Arabidopsis thaliana: one gene and its partners. The protein of the gene in region 4 interacts with the protein of the main gene of each other region in a pairwise test. Each region holds a gene or a part of one and is shown on either strand. Other genes may lie near its edges. The genes, in order: BLH4, AT3G11280, AT3G60670 and WOX14.

Region 1 (8,360 bases), on a different chromosome or scaffold from region 4:
GTTGCTCCCTAAATACTGTTCCGGGTTATTGGTTTCACCAAAGACATTTATTAAAACATGAAATGTCAAATCATGTAAGATTTATATTGCCAATTATAGTGTCATCATACTCTCCTAATAGAGTATATAAAATACTTCGAATAGAAATTTATTAGTTGTAAGGAATTAGGTGAAACGTAGATATTATTGTTTACTAAAATAATTGAAGTGACTTTTAAGAAAACCCTTTGTAAACAATTCAAGTAATGAGTCCTATTACAAAAAGTAATGAGTAGCACCATGGCAATGAGCTTAATGTCCCTTTGTAGAACTAAAACGTCTCCGTCTCGATTGACATATCCCCCAATATGACATGTAACCAAACCTTTGGAGTTTTGGATAATTGTTTCTCAGAGAAAAAAACTAAAGAACCTAACTCAAAAGATTATTTGTTTTCTTTTTAAACAAATATGTCACGTTTTTCTTAACTATTTTACTATAAACTGAAGATAATACAATTGTTAATAAGTCGATCGGGTACGTACCAAGTATATTTTGTTGCTATTACTAAATTAAGGAGCACATAGTTGTAGTAAGTAGGGATTAGTTGAGATGATTAATTTGATATTACAAGGAAAGTGATGTGACTTATTGGCGCTTTCCTAAAAGACTGTTGTCGCTTATTAGCAAAAATCAAATGGAAGAATCCAATAAATGCTACACGAAATTTAGTTTCCAGAAAATATATGTACATAATCATAATCTAAAACAAAATTTAGAGTAATTTGGCAGGGGTATTAATATGAACAAAAAATTAGTATGAACAAAACTATACAAAAATGTAAGGATATAAGTTTCATGAATAAAATAAAAATATGTGCATAATTATATATGGAACTTTGGTAGCTAGATCTCACTTGATATATGTATATCTCTCTTCTTCTTACGACAGAAAAGACAGAAAAAAAAACTAAAGAAGAAAGGAAATTTTAAAAGTATGTGAAGAAACTAAAAACATATATCGATAAACCAAAAAAATAAAATTCACTATAATAAATTTTGATGAATAAATTGAGAAACAAAGAAGACTAAAAATCTCCAAAGTCTCTAACGGAGAAAGAAGTGTTCTTATCAGGAATATTGCCAGAGTGGCGTAGACCAAGCGTAAGAGACACGTCACCAGTCTGTTTGGTCCCGAATCTTATGACGTTCACACCATCTCCGTCGACGTGGAAGTCACTGACGTCTTGCTGACACGTGGCGACGGTGAACGCGTCTGAACCGCCGTGAGAAGCGGCGGCGACGGAAGAGAGGAATGAAGAGTCGTTTTCGTGATGTGTCGATGTCATCGTCGTTGGAGTTTGTGCGGTTATGACAGTGAAGTTGTTTTCATTGTTGTTGGGTTTCGTGTCGTTGTTGTTTGTTTGTTGCTGTCTTCTTTGTTGTTGTTGATTTTCATTTTCTTCTTCTGCTTCTTCTCTTTCTTTTGCTTCTTGTTGATACATCTCTTCCACCATTGGTTTCCATAGGCGAACCCTAGCATTTATGAACCAATTTGACACCTGAAAAAACGAGACATATGAACTAATATTAATCACAATTTACTCTTAACAAGTTTATAATATTAAAAGAAACTTAACTTTTAGAAGGAAAAAAAAACTTTTCAATGAAATGTGAAATACTCCTTTTTACATTAAATATGGTTTTGATTGTTTTTGTATATACTTCATTTGTTTTATATTAAGTAAAGTTAAAATAATAAGTCATTTACTGTGAAGAAAATTAGTTTAAACAAATGAAACAAAAAAAATAGGATAGCTAAAACCTTAAGTTAAAATGATAGGAAAGGAGTAAAAATTATGATACATGTGTTTCCTTTGAGACATCTATTAAAAAGAAGATATATATTAAATTTTTCATTATATTCTTACAAGAACAAGATAACTTTTGACATGTTTCAAGTAATTTTGATTTGATGTTAACTTATGTATTTACTGAAAGGCTTAGATGAAATTTCTAAATTAAAAATTTGAAACATAATAATGTTTTTTTATTTGAACACATGAAACATAATAATGTTAAAACAACAATTTGAAGGTTGAAATATACTAATGGATATTTGAAGCCAAGTGTAATAAACTACTTGTGATGTAAATAATTAATGTGTACAAGACTTAGAGGTCTGCTAGTTAACATTGAAATGAAAGCTTCAAACTTTCATGTACTTGAGAAATACTTACATCTCTCTCTCCTATGTTTTATATATCCTTGTGTGTGTAAGTGTAGATAATGTATTTAATGAAGAAAACGAACCCCAAGAAAAACAAATGATTCGTGATATTGAAAATCCATGCAAGAGAATAGACATGAAGCCACTCATGTCAGATTTTGCATGATGAAATGATTGATATATATGGTAAATTGTGAGTTAAGTACATATATGTAAATGAGTAATTAAAAGGGTTCTTGTATGATAAGTATGAAAACATATTATATTAAAAAAATATTGATGTATGTATCTATATAGATAAAGGCTGACCTGATTTCTGGATAAACCAGTCTGTCGTGCTAAGAGGTGCTTATCAGCATCGCTTGGGTACCTGAGAAAGAGACCAGAAAATGACTTCACAATCTTTAGAACCCTAAACCAATAATTTTTTTCTTTTCTCTTTTTTTGAATATAGATAGAGAGGAAAAACACAATCAAGTAGATGCAAGAAAAGGTACAAACTTTCTCCTTACAAGGGCGTGAGAATCTAAGGGACAAAAGAAAAAGCTGATTTCAGAATAGAAGCATTTTATTTTATTTTTGTATCTTAACTTATTTTTCATCATAAAGCAAAATATTTATCTGTACAACTCTTCTCTTCTTTACTTCACTAACAACAAAATAGTAAAATTCTGCAGACATTAAATAGAGAAAGTACTGATGAATAATGACAGAAGAAATTGCTTTTTTCAGCTTTTAGATTTTTTTTTTCCTCTTTTTGATTTCTGTCTTTCTTAAGGGACAATATACCAATGAAACTGTACCACTGACAAATCTGAGACTTATTTTTTTGTAGTTATGTTAATGGCATTGTTACTTCTTTTGATAATAGTATGTGGAATGAATTAAAGCAAATTAAAGAAAAAAAAACTATAAAGGAAAGGTTAGGCAGAGACAGAGAAACCCTTAGGATGCTATTATGATCCCAAAGCATAAAAGTTTGCGATCTCACTCTGCAAACTTCTTTTGTTGCATTAATTATTTAAACCCTTTAATTTGCCATGCAATATAACCTACATTAATATAAATATAAACATACAGTTTTCATGAAAGTCTCCTAGTCAATGAATTGTTACCCTTGTTATTTTGGAGTACTCTTAGCTGACCATTCTTATGGGTGGTATGAAAAGGAAAAAATATTTGATATTTAAATTTTTATTAGTAGTAATAAACATAAAATAATCAAACTCAGTGAAGAAACGGAACTTCATTTTACAAAAATTATTTTGGTTTTCTAAAAAAGCCAGCAGCTTTTAATTTTGATTGAAATAGAAATATATCTTCCCGCATAACAAAAGAGTTATAAAAAAAAAAATTTTTTTGTCACTTTCATAACTTAAGTTTAATAAACGTATATTAGTTAAAGTCTTGGTATCAATGCATTATGGTAGTCTACATTTTATAATGTATAGTCAACATTCAAGAAGATTAGTATTATCGAAGAATAAGAGTAGGTAAGTATTATTAAGGGATTAGAAAATGGACTTACGGATTAAGAAAATGCTCGAATAGCCAAGCTCTAAGGATATTAACGGAGCGTTCAGGCAAACCACGTTGCGGTCTCCATGCCTCTTGCTCCATCATACCCATATGATGAAACGCTCGTTGCTGACGCAAACTCTGCTCTAGCAAACGCAATCGCGGCGTTTCCCCTTTGGTTAACCCCGAGGATGCAGCCCCTGCCGCCTCTTTATCCCCTAGAAGCTCACAGCTGCGTTTAAGCTGAACCGCTACCGCGTCTTTCAAACACCGGAAATGCCTAGACATTGCCTTTTGAGCTAATGTCGTGTACGGAACCGCCGCGCCGTAACCCATTACTTGGTCGAATGAGTTCACTACCATTTGCATTTGTTCGCAGTAGTGGTTGTACCGTCGGTCCACCTACAAATTAAATTTTAAATAAATGAACTATACATAGATGAGTTCTTGTTTTTTTTTTATTAGCTCAATTTCTAAGATAAAATATAAACCTCAAGTGATTAGTTCGTTTAGATACTTCAATGTGTTATCTTCTCTTGCTAACAATTTATGCTATCTTGGAACATATACTAAATTCTTGAAAGAAGATAATGTCAACTACAAAATAAATTGTAAGATAAATAATGAAGTAACTTCAAGGACTAGTTTTGGTTACGTAGTGAAGGTGGCTAGCTTATATGGAGAAGGAAACTCTAATTTAAAATTTATGGTTGTGAAGACTAAATCACTTAATCAATCATATATTAATTTCTTATGTTAAATTTGATTAAGCGATGCCACCAAACGCGTGACACAAAATATGCATTAATATATCAAATTAGACCATATAACACCATATAATGATATTAGTTAGAAAAATTATATAAGTGATAGTAGGATTGCGTAATCAGGCTTTACCAACTAGAGCATGTGTCGTGCTCTTGTACCAGTCGGTCATTCTCTATACATTTATTTTTTTAAGAAAATAACATATATAGAGTTTATGAAAATATTGGTCGATTTAGAATTAATTATATAAGAAGAAAAAAATCACGAAGAAAAATAAAATTTTGTAGCGATTGATATGAAATTGGTTGTTTGATCAATTCAATCATTAGAACGGTTCATTAAAAGTTTGATAGAAAATTAATTAGTTTGGTTAGAGAAAAAATATTGAGTGAAAACGTTACCTCTTCAAGCATAGATAGTAGCTTGACTTTTCTTCTTTGATGTTCAATCCGATCAGCCGGAGACAAAGGAGGACTATCATTAGCTGTTCCGGCCGATGACGAGGACCCTCCGCCTCCTCCTCCACCGGTAGTATTAGGGTTTGAGTTGTTCCTACTAAGTTTGTTCTTCTTGAAATGTCCTCTTCCAACACTACAAAACTCTTCCAACAACTCTTGAGCCGGTTTCGTATATTTCGAATTCCTCAACGTGTAGATCCCTCCAATGGATGAAGAAGCCGCCATGGGAGATGATGATGATGAACCAAAATGTCCAACAACTTGATGGTGATGATGTTGAGAAGAAGAATTCTCAAGAAGAAGATTCTTGAACTGATTGAATTGATGATGATGAGCGGATGCGTTAGAAGAAGAAGAAGTTCCATCAACGGCTGCACAATAAATGCTTCTATATTCCTCGGCTTTAGCTGCGGCTAATGAAGATGAGAGAGATAAAGACAAACCCTTTCCTCCTTCCACGTGGACGGTTCCGATCATATCTCGGTTTTGATGATGATCGGAGGAGGAAGATGGCCATGTAAAGTGTTGTTGTTGCTGCGGCTGCATAGTGTTTTCGTCGGTGAAAGCAAAACCTTGATGATGATTTGGTAATAACATATGAAGAGTTGAGTTATTGTTGTTGTTGTGACGGTTTTGTTGCTCTAGCAACTGTTTAGTAGACTGATCAAGAATCTCTCCACCGGAACCGCCGCCACCTCCGCCAGGGTAAGCAAACATTTCAGACAACATTCCGGCGGTTTCATAAACCGGAATTTGAGCACCGGAGACGACGGCGGATTCATCTACTTCCTCTTGATGAGTGGTTGATGATGATCGGTGGAATCCATTAGAGAAGGAAAAGATTCCTTGGTGATGATGATAATCTTGTGACATAGAAGAAGTTGTAGTAGCTAAACCCATATCTTGTTATTCATTATATCTTTTTTCCAAAGCTCTTGGATCCTGTAAGGATTCAGACATACACAGAGAATCTTATATAACACATACAAAAAAAAAATACAAGAAAAAGAAAGAGAGAGAGAGAGAGAGGAGTCAACTAGGTATTATACAGTTTTTCTCCAATCTCTTTCTTGTAACTCTTTTAAGGTTCTCACTTTCAGCTTCGGTCATCATCTACATATATGGTATAGAGAGAGAGAGAGAGAGAGAGAGGAAGTACCTTGGAGTTGCAGAGAATTAAAGAAATGATTGATGATGAGCTTATAGCTATCGTTTTCTTCTATACCTCTCTCTCTAGCTTTCTTTTTCTTGAGTACTCTTTTTATTTTATATTTCTCTGTTAGTGAGAGTTTTTATTCAGCAAATTCTGCAAAACCAAAAACTTATAAAAAAATCTCTCCCAAAGAGAAAGGAAGAGAGAGGGAAGAGAGAAGAAGAGGTCGCTGTTCTTTCTTCATCGCCTCCCTTTTTAACCCACCAATCTTCTTTAATATTTTTTTGTTATTAAAATCTTGATTTATCATTTTTTTATAATGAAGTATTTTTATAAACATCTTCTTTTTAATTTTAATCGGCAAAGGTTTCTTCATATCAATAACGATGAGGAGGAAAGACAAAAAAAAACTATACACATCCTGAAATTACGAAATTATCCTTGTTTTTTTTTCTTGTCTTTTTTTTTTGTCAACGTTATTATTTATTTATAAGAGAAAAAAAAACTTTTTATCACGGAAATGTCGGCTGATATCAACATTTTAAAGGAGTTAATTTGGAAACTAATTTATGAAAGCAAACTAAAAAGAATAGGAAGATAAGGTGAGTCCAAAGGTCATATCTCAATGAACCAAACCACCACCATAAATACTTCCACATATTTTTGTGCTTCAATATATTCTTATTTCGAGCCAAAATAAAATAAAATAAAATATTCTTATTTGACAAATTAAATACTTATATAATATTCCTATGATGCTCTCTAATTTTATTCTTTAATATTGTGTGTATTTGTTGTTTAGGGGAGACCTATGTCATTTTAGACTACTTTTTCATGTATGTACATTTATTCAATTAACTAATCATACGATATATCAAAAATCGATCAAATTATAATATGAAACAAATGAAATACATAAAAATCGATCAAATTATAATTACATTTTGGTAACATATGTGGCTAAATCAATTATTTTAAATTTCTTTGCAGAAACCGCTATATTACATCTATCATCACGAAATCGTAAAAAAAAAAGCATTAGAGATTACCTCAAGCTTGATATGATAAAGCAAAAATCTAGCTGCAAATCGAGGTTGTTTCATTTTGTGTTAATTGATTAGGAAATATCTCATTCTGTGTTAAACGATACTCTCAACTTTCAAAATATTATTTTATATCTATATTAATTAATAAAACTTTATCACTCAAAGATTATTGAAATTTTTTTAAAATTGCTTTTTAGATTACCCATTTTAAAAAATATCCCTTTAACAATAATATTTTTAAAAATACCATTGTTTTAAAAAAAACCTTGATGTTATGACAACATGCCTGATGACTAAACCTCCAAATCATCTTTACAAAATATTTACTAAAATCCAAAGATTAATCCTCTGCACGATTTCACGGTCGGCCGATAGCCTTTCACCATCATCGATGTTTGTAATATGTAAACCATCCACACACAACTAATGCATGGAAAAAACGAAATTTTATGGTTCTGTAGTTTCACAACTACACCTTCAGCTATCTCTTTTTCTAAACCTATACTTATAAAATTAATTTCAGCCATACATTATAATGACGTTGTATAGATACAAACACAATTATTTTCTGTTAAAATTAACGTATCATTAGTCATTACATTATCCTAGGTATATTAAATATTAAAAAAAAAAAAATTTCCAAAATCGATTTGACGTGCGTATCCATCCCACAAACAGTTAGAGAGACATGTTGGATATATGCTATGTAGGTTATAAATCCACAATAGGATAAATACTAATGGAAGGCTTGAAAGCAAAAGTGAAAAGCCCACTTGTATATATATCTATGGAGACTTATGTTGGAATCTATCATGCCAGAATCAGATACCAAATCGAAAATTGTGTAGCACGCAAATTTTTGTTTGAACTATTTACTTAATCTAAATTAATGCAAGTGATTTCTCAATAAATATTATTTTTTGCTAACGGATAATTTAGAATATTTTTGTTGCCTATAAGAAATTGGACTATTTCCTAAATTCAAAACTGTTTGGTTATTTCTACCAATTCAGCTACTTCATAATTGAAACTTCGTGCTATTTTTGCCTCTCCCCACCTTATATATATCAACATAATTTAAGTGACCCCAACAACGCTTACCAAATTATTTATTGTTTTGAAAACACATTTGTTTGTGTGAGAAAATATGTGTAAGTTATTTTTACATTTCCTATATGAATCGTGATTCATGGGCAGCCAAGTAAATG
Region 2 (4,935 bases), on a different chromosome or scaffold from region 4:
GGTGTAGACTTGTTCAATGCAGTGATATGCAATGGGATCCTCAGACTAACACTTTTGGTGCTAATGATCAAGACTGGGCCAACTATTTACATGTACAATTTATCTTCTGTGTTGATTTTGGTTGTTTCTTGAGTCTATAATAAAACTCATGATTGGATTTGTGACAGGTGAATCCTGAGGCTGGGCAGTATCGGTTGAATCCTCCATCGTTCCTCGAGAAACTTGAGCTTATCTTTGAAGATAGTAACTTAGATGATGAAGGTACTTCAGGTAGCAAAAGGAAGCGAATAGCCAAGCATCGTGATGAAGATAATGATAATACTGGAGATGAAGAAGACACGCAAAGCGCTTCTAATTTCTCGAGTCCTCAGTCGAAAGGATACTGGTCACCGTCTTCACATGAGCTGTTTGTTGATTTGTTGTTCCAAGAGGCTTTAAAAGGAAACAGACCTGACTCACATTATCCAAAGGAAACTTGGAAAATGATCCTTGAGACTATCAATCAGAATACCGGTAAAAGCTTCACCAGACCGCAACTCAAGAATCATTGGGATTGCACCAGGAAATCGTGGAAGATCTGGTGTCAAGTGATTGGTGCTCCTGTCATGAAATGGGATGCAACTTCTCGAACATTTGGTGCTACTGATGAAGACTGGAAAAACTACTTGAAGGTATAAACGCTACTCGACTTTTTATATTAGTTGATTAAGTTTGCAGCTTAACATTGGTTCTTTGATTAACAGGAGAATCATAGAGCAGCACCATTCAGAAGGAAACAACTTCCTCACGCGGATAAACTAGCAACCATCTTCAAAGGACTTATAGAACCAGGAAAAGCCTATTTCCGTTCTTATCGCAGGAGAGTGCTTGATCATCATTCCGAATCACCACAGCTACATGACCCAACTCCATTATCAACACTTTACACAAACGAGCCAGTCTCAGGTAGTGAAGGTGGAGCTGATGAAGATGACAATGATGACGATGATGAGCAGCCTACTCCGCAGCACCGGAGATTTAACAGTGTTGGTTTTGCAGAGTCTCGGTTACAAGATGTTGAAATTGTAACTCCGGGATGCCACAGGTTAAAAACTGAGCTGATGAAGGAGAGTCCAGTGAGTGCATCGGTTAGGCAGTACGAGTATACCATTGGGGAATGCATTGAGTGTTTGGACTCCATGGAAGAGGTTGAGCAAGGTAGTGATCTTTACTTGTTTGCGTTGGATTTGTTTGTGAAGAAAGAGTACAGAGAGATTTTCTTGCTGTTGAAGAACTCAAGTTTGAGAATGTCTTGGCTGCTTAGACTTCGATCTGGTGGCCTTACCATTGCTGCCTAAGATCGTCATATTCTCCCAAACTTCTTCTGCTTATGTCTTATTATGCTAAACACTCTTGATTTATCTTTTGAACAGTGTGAGATGTTATATTATTAGGTTCCTTGAAAGATTTTATGACAGTCGAAATATTATAAGAGTTACTGGTTAACTTTTGTCGCAAGAAATTACTCTTGTCTCTATTGCAGATGAGAAATAAACTTCAAAGCATTCGTATCCTATCGTCTATGACTCTATGTAGCCTTCTCTTCTTCAAAATTAACTTAAGTTAAAAAACCTTGTACAGTTTGATTAGTTGATACAACCGATATACTTTTATTTGATTTTCTCTGTTTGCAGAAAGTAATTTAAAACTTATGTGAGCATCACAAGTAAAATGGAGAGATAGTGGGATTTAATGAGCTTTAGCTATTGAATCTGTCACACTTTCTAAAAATATTTTCCACCGACGCATAGATACTAAAACCAATCATCACTTAATTCCAGGTAAGAACTTAATCCTAAACAACCTCCTTAAGGAGACAAAATTAAGATATAAAAAGAGATAAATCGCGCCAGGTAGGGGTCGAACCTACGACCTTCTGCTTAGGAAACAGACGCTCTATCCACTGAGCTACAGGCGCTTTTGATTGTAATTATCAAAACATTATATTTATAACAAAACCATACAGTATGTCTCCGTGTGGACCAGAAAAAAGGCGATAGAACAAATTTGTCGTATTCCAAAGAATTAAATAATAGAATCAAATAGATCAATCAACTTTTTTTTTCTTTCTGAGAAAAATGAACCGCAAGAATCCGAGTGGAGTGGTGCCATTCGCTGTTCTCCAATCCAAATACGCCAAATCTTCCCAAAAATAAAGAAACCTTTCCTTTTCTTTCTCTTCACTCTGTTCCCATATCTACAGTGACTCTTCTCTCTCTGTATATTACTCTTCCTTCACTATCTCTCTCTCTTTACTGGGTCTTCTTCAGCTTCTGAGTCTTCTCCTCTCTCTCTATCTCTCAAGTGGGCTTTGCTTTGCTGTTTTTGTCTTCCTTCGACGACTCACTTTTGCAGATTCTCATAAATTCTTCAAAGCTTTGAGTCTTTTTTCAGATTCGAGGGTCGGTTTTATATATGCTTCAAATCTCTTACCCAAATCAGGTTCTTGATTCCCTCAGTATACGATTCTTCATTTTTCCTTCCCTTTTGTTTTTCTTCTTCTTTGATTCCTACTATATTATCATTAAACCTTATATATAAAAGCTTCCATTATTTCCTTATATCACAAATCTATCTTTTAAGCTTCCTCCACACATAGAGCAAGAAAATGGACTTTTTTGAGCTGTGTTTGTAGTTGAAACTTATTCTTCCCTTTTTTTGTTTTTAGGTATGGAGACTCTGCATCCATTCTCTCACCTACCTATCTCTGACCACCGGTTCGTTGTTCAAGAGATGGTGAGCTTACACAGCTCGAGTAGCGGTAGCTGGACTAAAGAAGAGAACAAGATGTTCGAACGAGCTCTTGCGATATACGCTGAAGACTCGCCTGATCGCTGGTTTAAAGTTGCTTCCATGATCCCTGGAAAGACTGTTTTTGATGTTATGAAGCAATATAGTAAGCTTGAAGAAGACGTTTTCGATATTGAAGCAGGACGTGTTCCCATTCCTGGTTATCCTGCAGCTTCTTCTCCCTTGGGGTTTGACACGGACATGTGTCGTAAACGGCCTAGTGGAGCTAGAGGATCTGATCAAGATCGAAAGAAAGGAGTCCCTTGGACAGAGGAAGAACACAGGTTAAGACACTCTTTCATCTCTACAGAATTCTTTCCATATAAGTCACTCTTCCTAGGTTCCTTGCAACGCAAGTCATCCCCTTTTTTCTTAGGGTTTTCAATGCTCTGTTTCTTGTTCCTTGCAGGAGATTCTTGTTAGGCCTTCTCAAGTACGGTAAAGGAGATTGGAGAAACATATCGAGAAACTTCGTGGTGTCAAAGACGCCAACGCAAGTGGCGAGCCACGCCCAAAAGTATTACCAGAGACAGCTCTCCGGAGCCAAGGACAAACGCAGGCCAAGTATCCATGACATCACAACCGGCAATCTTCTCAATGCCAATCTCAACCGTTCCTTTTCCGATCATAGAGATATTCTCCCTGATTTAGGGTTTATCGATAAGGATGATACGGAGGAGGGAGTAATATTTATGGGTCAGAATCTCTCTTCAGAAAATCTGTTTTCTCCATCACCAACTTCATTCGAAGCTGCCATTAACTTCGCCGGAGAAAATGTCTTCAGTGCCGGAGCTTAAGGCAACATAGAATCCCCAAACTCAGCGTTCTTAAGAATCTGAGTTTTGAAACTGTAATTAGAGAAATATAAGCAAAACCAAGTTTATTATATATGTATTGTGTGGTTTAAAAGTAAGAACTTGTTTTTACTCTGTATTTTTGTGTTTCTGTCTACTAAATACCTGTTATGTTAAAAAAAATCTGTGTTTTCTTTTCGATTAAATTATAGACTTATAGTTGTGAAAAAGAGTACTTGTGCTTTATGACAAGTTGATAACCCTAACAATTTACCACAATATATCTATTTTATGGTGTTAAATGCAAATTATAAAGATATACTGTAATAAAGACTTAAAGAGATTAAAAAAAAAAAAAAGACTCAAAGAGATCAAACACCACACAAAAATGAGAAATTTGTGAAACATGTTTTGGGTTAGATTTATTTAAGAAGATGGCTATAGTATAGTTTTAAATATTGAGTAAAGTTTTGGTGGAAGGTATGAAGAATTGATTTGAGTATAAAATAGAGGCTGAGTCTGCTTTCCACTTCTGACCAAAGAACCTCATTCTTCTCATCTATTACACCAACCTCCTGACTCATATATATATTAACGTATTTAGAATTACGTATAATGGTGTCATTTGTATAAAAAACATATATGAATGAAATGTTTATTTTATTTTTTAATCATTTGGTGCCCCAATCTAAACACTGCTCACATTTGAATTATGCAACTTGAAATAACTTTGATAAATTTATATTGAAACAACTTTGAAATATTATTTATCACAGTTCATATGCAAAGTTGGACCAAAGGCTACACTTAATCAAGCAATAGTTTTATCATAGTTCATATTCAAAGAAATCGGATTTAATAGATTTCCATATCTTATTCTATATGTATTAGATGAATCTTGATCATCAATTGTGACATATGCTACTGCAATTTGCGAGTCCTATTTCGGATAAAGAAAACAAAGTAGTTTTTCCTTTCTTGCAACTTTATGGCTTTATTTCTTTTGCCACCCTTTTGTTATTTTGTCACTTTCGATCTGGTCGCTTCGATGGGATCTACATGCCTTACACTGATGTACCAATATCAAAAAACATTCAATGTTCTTACGTCATACGTGCATTACTATATACTATACAGTATACACTATTTTATGACTAAGATTTGCGATGCTGATAACTTTGAGAACAACAGGATGCAAAATTTAAAGTGAAATTACGTACAATTGTTACATCTTTTCCATAGCAAAGTTATAAGGACATATTCTAGAAAATTGTTGAATAACAATTATAAAATGATAATTGTGATAATTCTT
Region 3 (5,065 bases), on a different chromosome or scaffold from region 4:
CACTACGAAATGGGAAGAAGAAAGTGGTCCAGGGAAACAGGAGAGAAAAAAAAAAGACTATTTGCCTCAGAAACATTCACAATTTCACGTTTATCCATAATGTCTGTTCCAATCTCTTTGTCTTCTTTTTTCGTATAACCAATAACCAATTTTAGTCGTCTTTCGTTCGTGCAAAACCCACAAAATACGTTATGCATAAAGACAAAAACACACACTATACAGTCTTATCGCATGCATTTTTTAAAGAAAATTCACATTTATTACCAACCAACTGATATCAAATAATTAATTAACATGTTTACTATTTTGTGAGTTGTGACCTAAATTTTATATACATACAAGAAAGAAACATTCATAAATTTTCTGCAGACCACATTTAGACTTATAGAGTTCTCCATCACTACCATTTTACTTCTTTTATTTTCAAAACGTATCATTTAACTCAGCCAAGAAAGATATGGTCGGTCTAATGCATTTAATGACAACAAATATTAATCCTTTAAGAATTTACTTCGCCGCTGTAAATGTTAAATCAAGCCGTCTCAATAGTACTGAAATTGCTATTCGTGGAGGAAGAGGTATTTTTAAAAAATTATAAAAAATGGGAAGCAATAAAACGGATTATACGAAAACATGTTTCATTATACGAAAAGTATTTAAATTAAATAACATAGAGTTCTCTCATTACGCGGTACAGATATCAGAGTCAGACAAAACCAGGAGAGATCTTTTCAACTATTCTTAATTCCATTTCTTAAAAAAACCTAAAATTCGATTCGTTATTTAGAGATATTGATTAACAATATAAAATAAGACTATAGTAGTTACGTGTATTCATTCTACTTACCACTTGGACCAACCAAATTTCGCCAAACGTCACGAGTTAATAAAGCGGGGCGCGTTGCGGCGGATTCTTCCGACGGTTTAAAAAGTTCACCGGAGCTTCCGTGTTAGTCGTTGAAACCACCTCCGTGACTCTCCTGCAAGTCGTCGACAAGCTGCTTCTTTTCTTCCTAACGATTTCAGTAGTGGCGGTGCAAGCGAGCGCCTGACACCAGAACATGTCTTCTCCTTCGTTACCACTTGACTCGGAAGATGTTCGGTTCGACCCGGTGGGCTCGAGAGTGGAACTCGGTGTCGTTGTCGTGACTTCGTCGGTTAAATCAAGAACGTTGCAGACGCGGAGAAACCCTGAGAGTCCTCTTTGTCTCATTATGACGTCACTAATCTACATAAAACAAACAAACCATGTGTTTGTGTTTTCAGCGACAATTACGTGTAAATATGATCGTACACGCGTGTTTATATTAAAAAGCAGAAAAACAACAAAAACAGAAAGAAATTGAATTGTGTATTTTGAAAGAATTTGAAAAATAAATGAGACAACAAATAAAAACGTTCCTTTTTTATCTGACGACAATTTCGTGTACTCGTGCATCAAAAAATGAAATTTCTAAAAAAGAAGATCGACCCAGATGAAGAAAAGTGGTAAATCGGACTGGGTATGTGATAGAATTTTAAATGAAAACTTAATTAACGAAGAAAAGATGTTCCTTTTAAGTAATTAGAACAAGAAAAAGCAGACCTTGCAGGAGAGACAGCAGAAGAGGTAAGGAGACTGGAGACTCCGGTCACAGGTGATACAAATGTTACCGGAACCACGAAATTGTCGAGACTGAGGCCGTTCATTGATGAACACAACTTTTGAACTGTTCGTTGTGTATGGCTTTAATCATCATCAACACATACACACACACAAAGAAAAAGAAAAAGACAACGAGTATTAATTAAAGCTGTCAAAATTTTAGGGCACAAGAACCAATGAAAATTGGACTTTTAATGTATACAATAAACGGATTAAGAGTTTTATCATGATAATTAAATACAACCAGAACCGAGTTATACCTGAATTAAAGAGCAATCCATTAGCTTAGAACCATCTTCAACCCTCAAAACGTCTCTATACACGTATCTTCTTATCTGCGTAAAGATTCCCAGAAACACACCAAGTTCATATTTTTCTTCCGACAAATATGAAGATTTTTGAAACCATTAAAAAAAAGTTTGTTTATTTTAAGAGAGAGACCTGAAGAAGACGATGAGAGGTATGAGAAGAGAGACAGTGAGGACAGATGGTAAGACAACAATCGATACATAATATGTTCTTCTCGTTCTTCTTATCATCTTCATGATCCAAACAAGCGTTGAAAAACTTGTCTTTTAACAGAACCTCAAGCCATGCAGGAAATTCTCCAGATTCCATCTGCAAAATACCAAAAAAAAAACAGTAAACTTTAAAGACGAAACCCATACATGAATCAAGACCCATGTTTCAATTTCATGTTTTTTGGACTAAAAAGGTAAAATTGAGAAGACCCACCTTGGCTTATCTTCTTCTGGTTATCTACACTGGGAGGTGGTTTTCTCGGGGAAGAGATAGAGAGAGTAAGGTCAAGGTCAGGCGATTTTGAGCTCTCTCAGTGGTGAAATTGACTGACCATTCTCAGAGAGAGAGAGAGAAAGAAAGAAGGAAAGAGAGAGCGGCGCCTGGAGAGAGTGACCACTAGCTTAAATTCAAATGAGTCTTCTCTTCTTTCTCTCCTTAATGATGTGTTGTAATCTTTAGTATTCGTTAATTAATTTGTTTTGTTGATTATTTACTCTCATTTAGTTTTATCCATTAGTTAGAGAAGTGGTTCACTTAGATACGTTACTAACTTACTACGTAATGACTACTACTAGATAGCAGAATTCGATTATGAGTGTTGAAAAGTAACAATTTTGGGTTATTTATCATTATTAAGTACCTTTTCATTGACAGATACAGTTCCAACTTGACAAACAGAAGTGTATATTTATTAGAATTCAGCTTGGCAATAATAATAAATTTTATATTTACTGTCATATGAAAAAACCTTTTTTTTATATACCGTGTGAATATGAACTTTATATTATAATTAATAATTAAATTTAAGAAAGCATTTTCTTCAGAAATAGTATTAAAAAAAATTCAGTCCTCTGGTATGTGACAGTCGTCAATATCAAAATTTTAAAGCCAAATTCAGAGTTTTAATCTCTCTTTCTTTAGACAGAAAAAAAAAACTCTCTTTCTTATAACAATATGAGTTGGGTTTTTAAAAAGAAAGTAAAACGAGATTTCTTTATACAACCAATTTGATTTTCCTGTATCGTCTCTTCATGATATAATTGTATGTGTTGTTTTTGTTTAGAAGGTCTGTCTGGTTCACTGTGAAAAAGTGCTAAATGACAAGACTCTCCCCAACAGTCTACTTTTCATTTGATCATTTCTAAGTGGCGATTTCGTAAACCCAATATAACCTACTAAAAACAAATTTCTCTTTTTACTACTACGTGTATTTCGTTCAGTAAAAATGTGAGAATAAATACCCAAATTAAAGCTAAGCACCGTTTTATAATTAAAAACATTACCATCCACACAAAAAAATAAAAATAAGCTTCATTAATAATTAAGAAAACATAATTGTAATAGCTAAATGAAGTATATGATTGATACATTGAATAGAGGAAGAAATAGAGAGCAAATTCCAAGAACCCTAAGACCCATTGTCACAGCTGTAGACTGTTCTCGAAAACCAGTGCAAAGTTGATGGGATTTATTAGTTATTGCTTATACTACTAAACTTACCTACGTACCTCACTAGACCACCTATTATTATTTTCATTTTATTATTATAAGTAAAATAATCTCTCAATTTTTGCATACAAATTTTTAAAAATGAAAAAAAAAGAATATGAGTGTATGTATAGAAAGAGAGAGAGAGAGAGGGACAGAGAGGTGGATCAGAGTTGGTACGGAGGAGCAGCAGCAGCAGCCTCAGGCAGAGAAAGAATGCGACGCCACTGCTTTCTTTTGATCTGATCCGATTCGATTTCGATCCAGCTGTCCCCTTTTCTCGTTAGCCTTTTAGTTACTATTGATCATCAGGGGTATTTTAGTCAATTTACGATATCTACATGGGCTGGGGCTTTTATCCTTTATTTGGGCTACTTACGATTGTTTGTTATGGTTGATCCACATTTCTCCTTAATCGAATTTAAAACATCTGGGGTGGTCCTGATCACAACAGCACGATTGGTGTTATTGATTTAGTCAAAACCGACGTCGTTGAAGAACAAACTTTGATCTAACAACCGAAATCGTTGGTAACCAAACGGTCAAATGAAATCAAGGGAAAGTGACATACGACCCTCAATTTTGTCTTTGTATTTGATTTTATGTCCCACAATGTAATAAAAAAGATAACTATTTCTATATGTCATTGTGGAATTTAGACAGAATGATATAATAAACAAATGTATCAATGTAAAATGTTATTTTTTTTTTAGCGGGATCAGATTACAAAAAGTTACACAAATTATTAACTTAAAAACCTTTCACTTTCAGCATATACTCGAACACGGTAAATGTAAGGTGCATCACTAATTCACTACTTCCTCTCTTAAAAAATATAGGATACTTACATATTTTAAGATTTATTTATTTATATCAAAAACTATAATCTAATTTTTTATTTTTTTTAACCAATAATATAAGAGACTTCATGATACAAATGGTCATAAAATATCAAATGTAATGAAAAGGTACATTAAAATTTGTTCTATATATAAATTAACTTAAATATATTATTATATATATGAATATTTCACTAAAGTAAATCTAATGTAATAAATTCAGGGTGATTGTAAATATGATTTAGCAATTATACAATATCTAAATAGATTAGGTGAAGTAAAAAAGTGATAATAAATATCATTGAAGTTTAAATTGTCAGTAGTTTGTACAAAAAAACATCTAGACATTAATATTTGATAAATTTAATGGTAACAGTTCGAACATAGTCTGGTTATTCTCATCGGTTTTGAACACAAACCACTGATACTGGTCTTTATTAAGCTGACAACGCAAATTTTGAAAGTTACTTGATACTATTAAATCTTTTAGATACCTTTGATAGTCTTATGGCGTTTTCGACCGTGAGGCTTGTTCAGGATTGTCGATCAAATCTTTTTTTTTCAAATGTGT
Region 4 (4,355 bases):
CTATTCAACAAATGCTCAATCCCTGAAACCACAAAAAGTTCACCACATTTTTTCATCTCTGACTCAATTAAACCAAAATACGATGCATAGACACATAAATATCATATAGTAAGAGGTTACCTAAATCAGGACTCGGGAACAGTATATGCTCATAAGACTCAAACCCTCCAGAATCATCTCCACACCTCCCTCTCTCCTCAGTTGTTGTCACGGCCGCATCATCCGCCTGACTCGAGGTAATTGTCGTTGTCGGAGGTTGCTTTCGTTTGGACCGAGCTCGTCGGTTTTGAAACCAATGGTATACATTTTTCTCCATGATTTGTCCATGTTCAGACAGTTCCATCGTGATCTCTTTAATCCTCCGCGGATTTGGTGTTCCACTGCCTTCCTTGTAAATGTTCTCAAGAATCTGAAGTTGCGTTGTCGTAGGAGTCCATCGAGGCCGAGTCGACATTCCATGAGCGCTTGACGATGCCACCATTGGATCAAAATACTCACCTCTCATTGGATTCATTCCTATTGTATTTTCTCATAATCATTACCATACAAATTCAGTTACGTGACCCTTAAGTTTCTTCCAAATACAATTATGGAGTAGTGTACGTACCTGATGAAAGAAGAGGGACAGAAGAGAGAGAGTTGTGGAGGAAGACGAGCTGGTCGCAAAGAACGGCGTAAATGGCGATTTGCTTACGAAGAGTCTCCATTTGTTCATCCGTCATTACTCTACTACCATACCTACCGTTTAGGCTCTCTTGCTCCATCTCCTCTTTCACCACTTTGCCTTCTCCTCTCTCCTTTTTACCATATGAAGAAGACAATGTGGAAGTGAAGGTGTTATGTATTTTTCTTTTTGAGAAATCTTTAGTTATTTGTTACCGTTAACTTTAAACAATTTATGGAAAGATGTCAAACTAGGATCAATTGTCTGATTTTTTTTCTTTTTCAATTACTAGTTAATTGAGGTAATTTTGGGATTCAATTGGATAAATAATTGATATATATTCTAATTGTGTGGTCATGTAACCAATATCCGATTTTATATGATTTTTTGTGTGATAACAATAAATTTAAAAACAATGAAAAAAGCTATGGTCATGACTAGGATCGGTTATTATGGTCAATTGCTTCTACTCTTTAGTGTCATTTGAATTGAGATTTACCGGTCAAAATATCAACCGAGTTTAAGATGGCATCACTTTTCTTTCTGATGCTGAAAAAGATGTGGGCATATATATCAAGTTGAGGAACACAAAATTATAATAAAATTGAAGACTTGTTGTTAATGTCACACACAAACACACACAATTCTATTTTATGAAAACAGAGTAAAAGAAAACAGAATAGATTAGAGATCTTCTTCATCGAAGTCTATACGAATTTTAAGTCTCCATAAATTTCCCTATACTCAACAAATGCTCAATCCCTGAAACCACAAAAAAAAATGCAAACTCAAACCAAAAATAAAAAATAAACCTAACCAAATGTTTAAAAACTCAAATGATCTTTTTACCTAAGTCAGGACTTGGGAAGAGTATATGCTCATAAGACTCTAATCCCCCTGAATCTCCACAACTCCTCCTTTCCTCCGTTGTCACCGCCACATCGTCAGCCTGACCATTAGCTGTCGTCGTTTGAGGCTGCTTTCGTTTGGACCGAGCTCGCCGGTTTTGAAACCAATTGTAGACATTTGTCTCCGTGATCTGTCCATGTTCAGACAGCTCCGTCGCGATCTCTCTAATCCTCCGTCGATTCGGTGTTCCACTTCCTTCGTCGTAAATGCTCTCAAGTATCTGAAGCTGTGTTGAAGTCGGAGTCCACCGATGCCTAGTCGATATCCTATGAGAACTTGACGATGCCCCCATCGGATCAAAGTATCCGCCAACCATTGGCCTCACTCCTTTTTTACACTCAATCATTATAAAAAAATAAGTGACGTGACCCTTAAGTTTCTTCCATGTACAAAATATGTATTATCAAAACCACAAAGCACTAATAACTCAAGCTTCTTAAAAATCGGCCACGACATGATAACCCTCAAATCAGCTTACGTCTAGAGAAAATAAACATTAATAATATATTGAATTGTTCGATCTAAGCAAATCATAAACTATATTAACAAATATCTTTAGCAATGATAAATCGATATCTAAGCGGTAGGTAAACTGTCTTCGAATGTCTAAAACATTATGAAATTTGATTCAAAGTTATGCATCGAACACTGGGAAAAAAAAAGCCTTGGATTTCGTTAGTTGTATACCAAACGCAAACACAATTTTCACATTTTTACACTAAAGTCTCAATGGGTCAAGTGTATTAATGGAAACAACGTTTGCATCGCAAAAAACGCTGCGTTTAAACACTTTCGTCTTACACACTTCTTCTACCGTATACAAAGAAGCTCATCAAATGGTCTCTTGTAAAAAAATCAAATACATAGAAAAGTGATTGTTGTTAATCAGGAACAAAAACAGAGAGAAGTGTACCTGATGAGAGTGGATGGTAAGAAGAGAGGGAGTTGTGGAGGAGGACGAGTTGGTCACAAATAACGGCGTAAACGGCGATCTGCTTACGGAGAATCTCCATCTGCTCCTCAGTCATCACTCTCCCACTATACGCACCGTTTTGGATCTCTCTATCCATCTCCTCTATTTCTTTGCTTTTCTCCTTTTCCTTTTTTTTTTTTACCATATGAACAAGACAATGAGAAAGTGAATGATATATATATTCTTTTGTTTATGAATAAAGGGATCTTTAGTTTATTTGTTACCGTTAAATCAAACACTTTTTGGAAAGATGTCTTTGTTTAATGATCAATTGGACCAATTTAATTTTTACAGTTACCAGGTTTATTACATTGGTTACATATTGAAAACATTGGAGAACTATGGCCTTTCACTAGGATAGATTTTGGTCGACGGTATTCACAATTTTTTGTTAGAATTTCAACATTTTAATCGAGTTTTACGGGTCAAGATATCTACCATTTGAAATAGAAAAATGTGCTAATCCAAAATATGTATCTAAGAAGATCTTAATCCTATGTGTTGATGACATAATAAGACACCACACTAATATATAAAAACAACCTAATTAAAACCAGGTATTGTTGTTACATCCGTAGAGGAACACAAACTGTGTATCTTACTTTATGTATATAGTGGTTAGGTAAAGCCGGAAGCAAGGCTTAATCACAGCATTATATAAAATATTATCGTTGTGACTTATGACTAATGATTAAACTATTGATGGAAAAAGAAGAGCATGCTTTCTTTCTTTTTCTAAGTTGATTAAGAAGAAAATGTACGAATTTGACCAAAAAGGTTCTTTGATATAAAGATGTTGACTAAAAATTTATAACATAAGTGAGACTATTCTGCTGCTAATACGCAGATTTTCACTAAAATCTTCACTTTTGTCAAAAATGATCAAATTTTTTACTTATTTCTTAAATCAAACGAAGTAATACAATCCAAAGAGAAACTCTTAATTAAGCTGATGCAAACCATTTTTTTTTTTCAAAAGATGAAAAGAGAACCAAATGATCATGGCGTTGGTAATTTGGAAAATTCAAGTATAGCCTCAAAACAATTTTACCAACCTGTGTCTAAAGTCAAATAACTAAATAAAAAGTGAAAACATGGTTTACTCTTTGTGGAACACATTGATTAAGAGCGTGATTATGCAATAGGACTCACAACCCCAATATGATTTAAGTAAAAACATGGTTTACACTAATATTTTTTTCAGGGGTATAAATCCTCATATCAACTAGAAACAAAGAGTCTAAAGAGCATTAAAACGTAGAGGAATTAAAAACTAAATCATTCATTATATAGAGCTACAAATCTCTCATTTCACCATCTAAACATTCTACATTCACTTTTTCCATTACCCGTAGAATCAGTGGGAGATAGGTAATAGTTTACTAAAACGAAACATCAGTAAGAAAAAGAAAAAGAAAAAAAAAAAAAACCACTTTAACCACCCGAATTAACATTTTAAGAGAGGAGATAAAAACATCCGAGAGATTCCTTGCAGCCTTCTATATTACGCTACCACAACTTCAACTTCTTAATCATCGTCTTCCTCCTACATCACATGTATAACAGAGTTAATACAAAGCTTTACTGATTCATACTACAGATATTTAGATTGCAGAGGTGTAAAATAACTTACCTCTTCACTGCCATCCTCAGCATCATCCTCATCGTTAACCTCTGAAACTGACTTGTCAGATTCCTCATCTTCCTTAGGGCCTTCCTCCTGAAACCACAACACACCACCATTATTCAAGCACCCCCATTAACCAAATTACCAGTTGCTTGTATCATCATTGTTTAGAATAAACATAA

What was found.
Region 1: the proteins of WOX14 (region 4) and BLH4 interact in a two-hybrid assay, tested with the Arabidopsis thaliana proteins (one large-scale study listed by BioGRID).
Region 2: the proteins of WOX14 (region 4) and AT3G11280 interact in a two-hybrid assay, tested with the Arabidopsis thaliana proteins (one large-scale study listed by BioGRID).
Region 3: the proteins of WOX14 (region 4) and AT3G60670 interact in a two-hybrid assay, tested with the Arabidopsis thaliana proteins (one large-scale study listed by BioGRID).

The regions. Positions count from the first base shown.
Region 1 is NC_003071.7:10,106,884-10,115,243, forward strand, and holds BLH4 (BEL1-like homeodomain 4), read right to left. Parts: upstream 6,123-8,360; 5' UTR 6,003-6,122; exon of another isoform or gene 5,896-6,002; 5' UTR 5,854-5,895; coding exon 4,897-5,853; intron 4,130-4,896; coding exon 3,738-4,129; intron 2,736-3,737; coding exon 2,519-2,735; intron 1,542-2,518; coding exon 1,068-1,541; 3' UTR 826-1,067; downstream 1-825. UniProt on the Arabidopsis thaliana protein: Transcription factor that establishes leaf shape by repressing growth in specific subdomains of the leaf. Negatively regulates knox homeobox gene KNAT1/BP expression.
Region 2 is NC_003074.8:3,532,168-3,537,102, reverse strand, and holds AT3G11280 (Duplicated homeodomain-like superfamily protein), read left to right. Parts: upstream 1-2,108; 5' UTR 2,109-2,481; exon of another isoform or gene 2,482-2,707; 5' UTR 2,708-2,709; coding exon 2,710-3,113; intron 3,114-3,238; coding exon 3,239-3,626; 3' UTR 3,627-3,892; downstream 3,893-4,935. Other genes in the region: AT3G11290 (Myb/SANT-like DNA-binding domain protein), read left to right, coding at 1-92, 168-671, 744-1,337.
Region 3 is NC_003074.8:22,423,812-22,428,876, forward strand, and holds AT3G60670 (PLATZ transcription factor family protein), read right to left. Parts: upstream 2,559-5,065; 5' UTR 2,381-2,558; intron 2,264-2,380; coding exon 2,087-2,263; intron 1,981-2,086; coding exon 1,906-1,980; intron 1,727-1,905; coding exon 1,586-1,726; intron 1,229-1,585; coding exon 884-1,228; 3' UTR 625-883; downstream 1-624.
Region 4 is NC_003070.9:7,180,894-7,185,248, reverse strand, and holds WOX14 (WUSCHEL related homeobox 14), read right to left. Parts: upstream 2,692-4,355; coding exon 2,487-2,691; exon of another isoform or gene 1,920-2,486; coding exon of another isoform or gene 1,901-1,919; coding exon 1,514-1,900; coding exon of another isoform or gene 1,497-1,513; exon of another isoform or gene 1,427-1,496; coding exon 1,383-1,426; 3' UTR 1,193-1,382; downstream 1-1,192. Other genes in the region: WOX10 (WUSCHEL related homeobox 10), read right to left, coding at 1-22, 121-516, 608-764; HMGB3 (high mobility group B3), read right to left, coding at 4,056-4,092, 4,180-4,259. UniProt on the Arabidopsis thaliana protein: Acts redundantly with WOX4 downstream of the TDR/PXY receptor kinase to regulate procambial cell proliferation and differentiation in vascular tissue, independently of any role in vascular. Involved in the regulation of gibberellin (GA) biosynthesis pathway.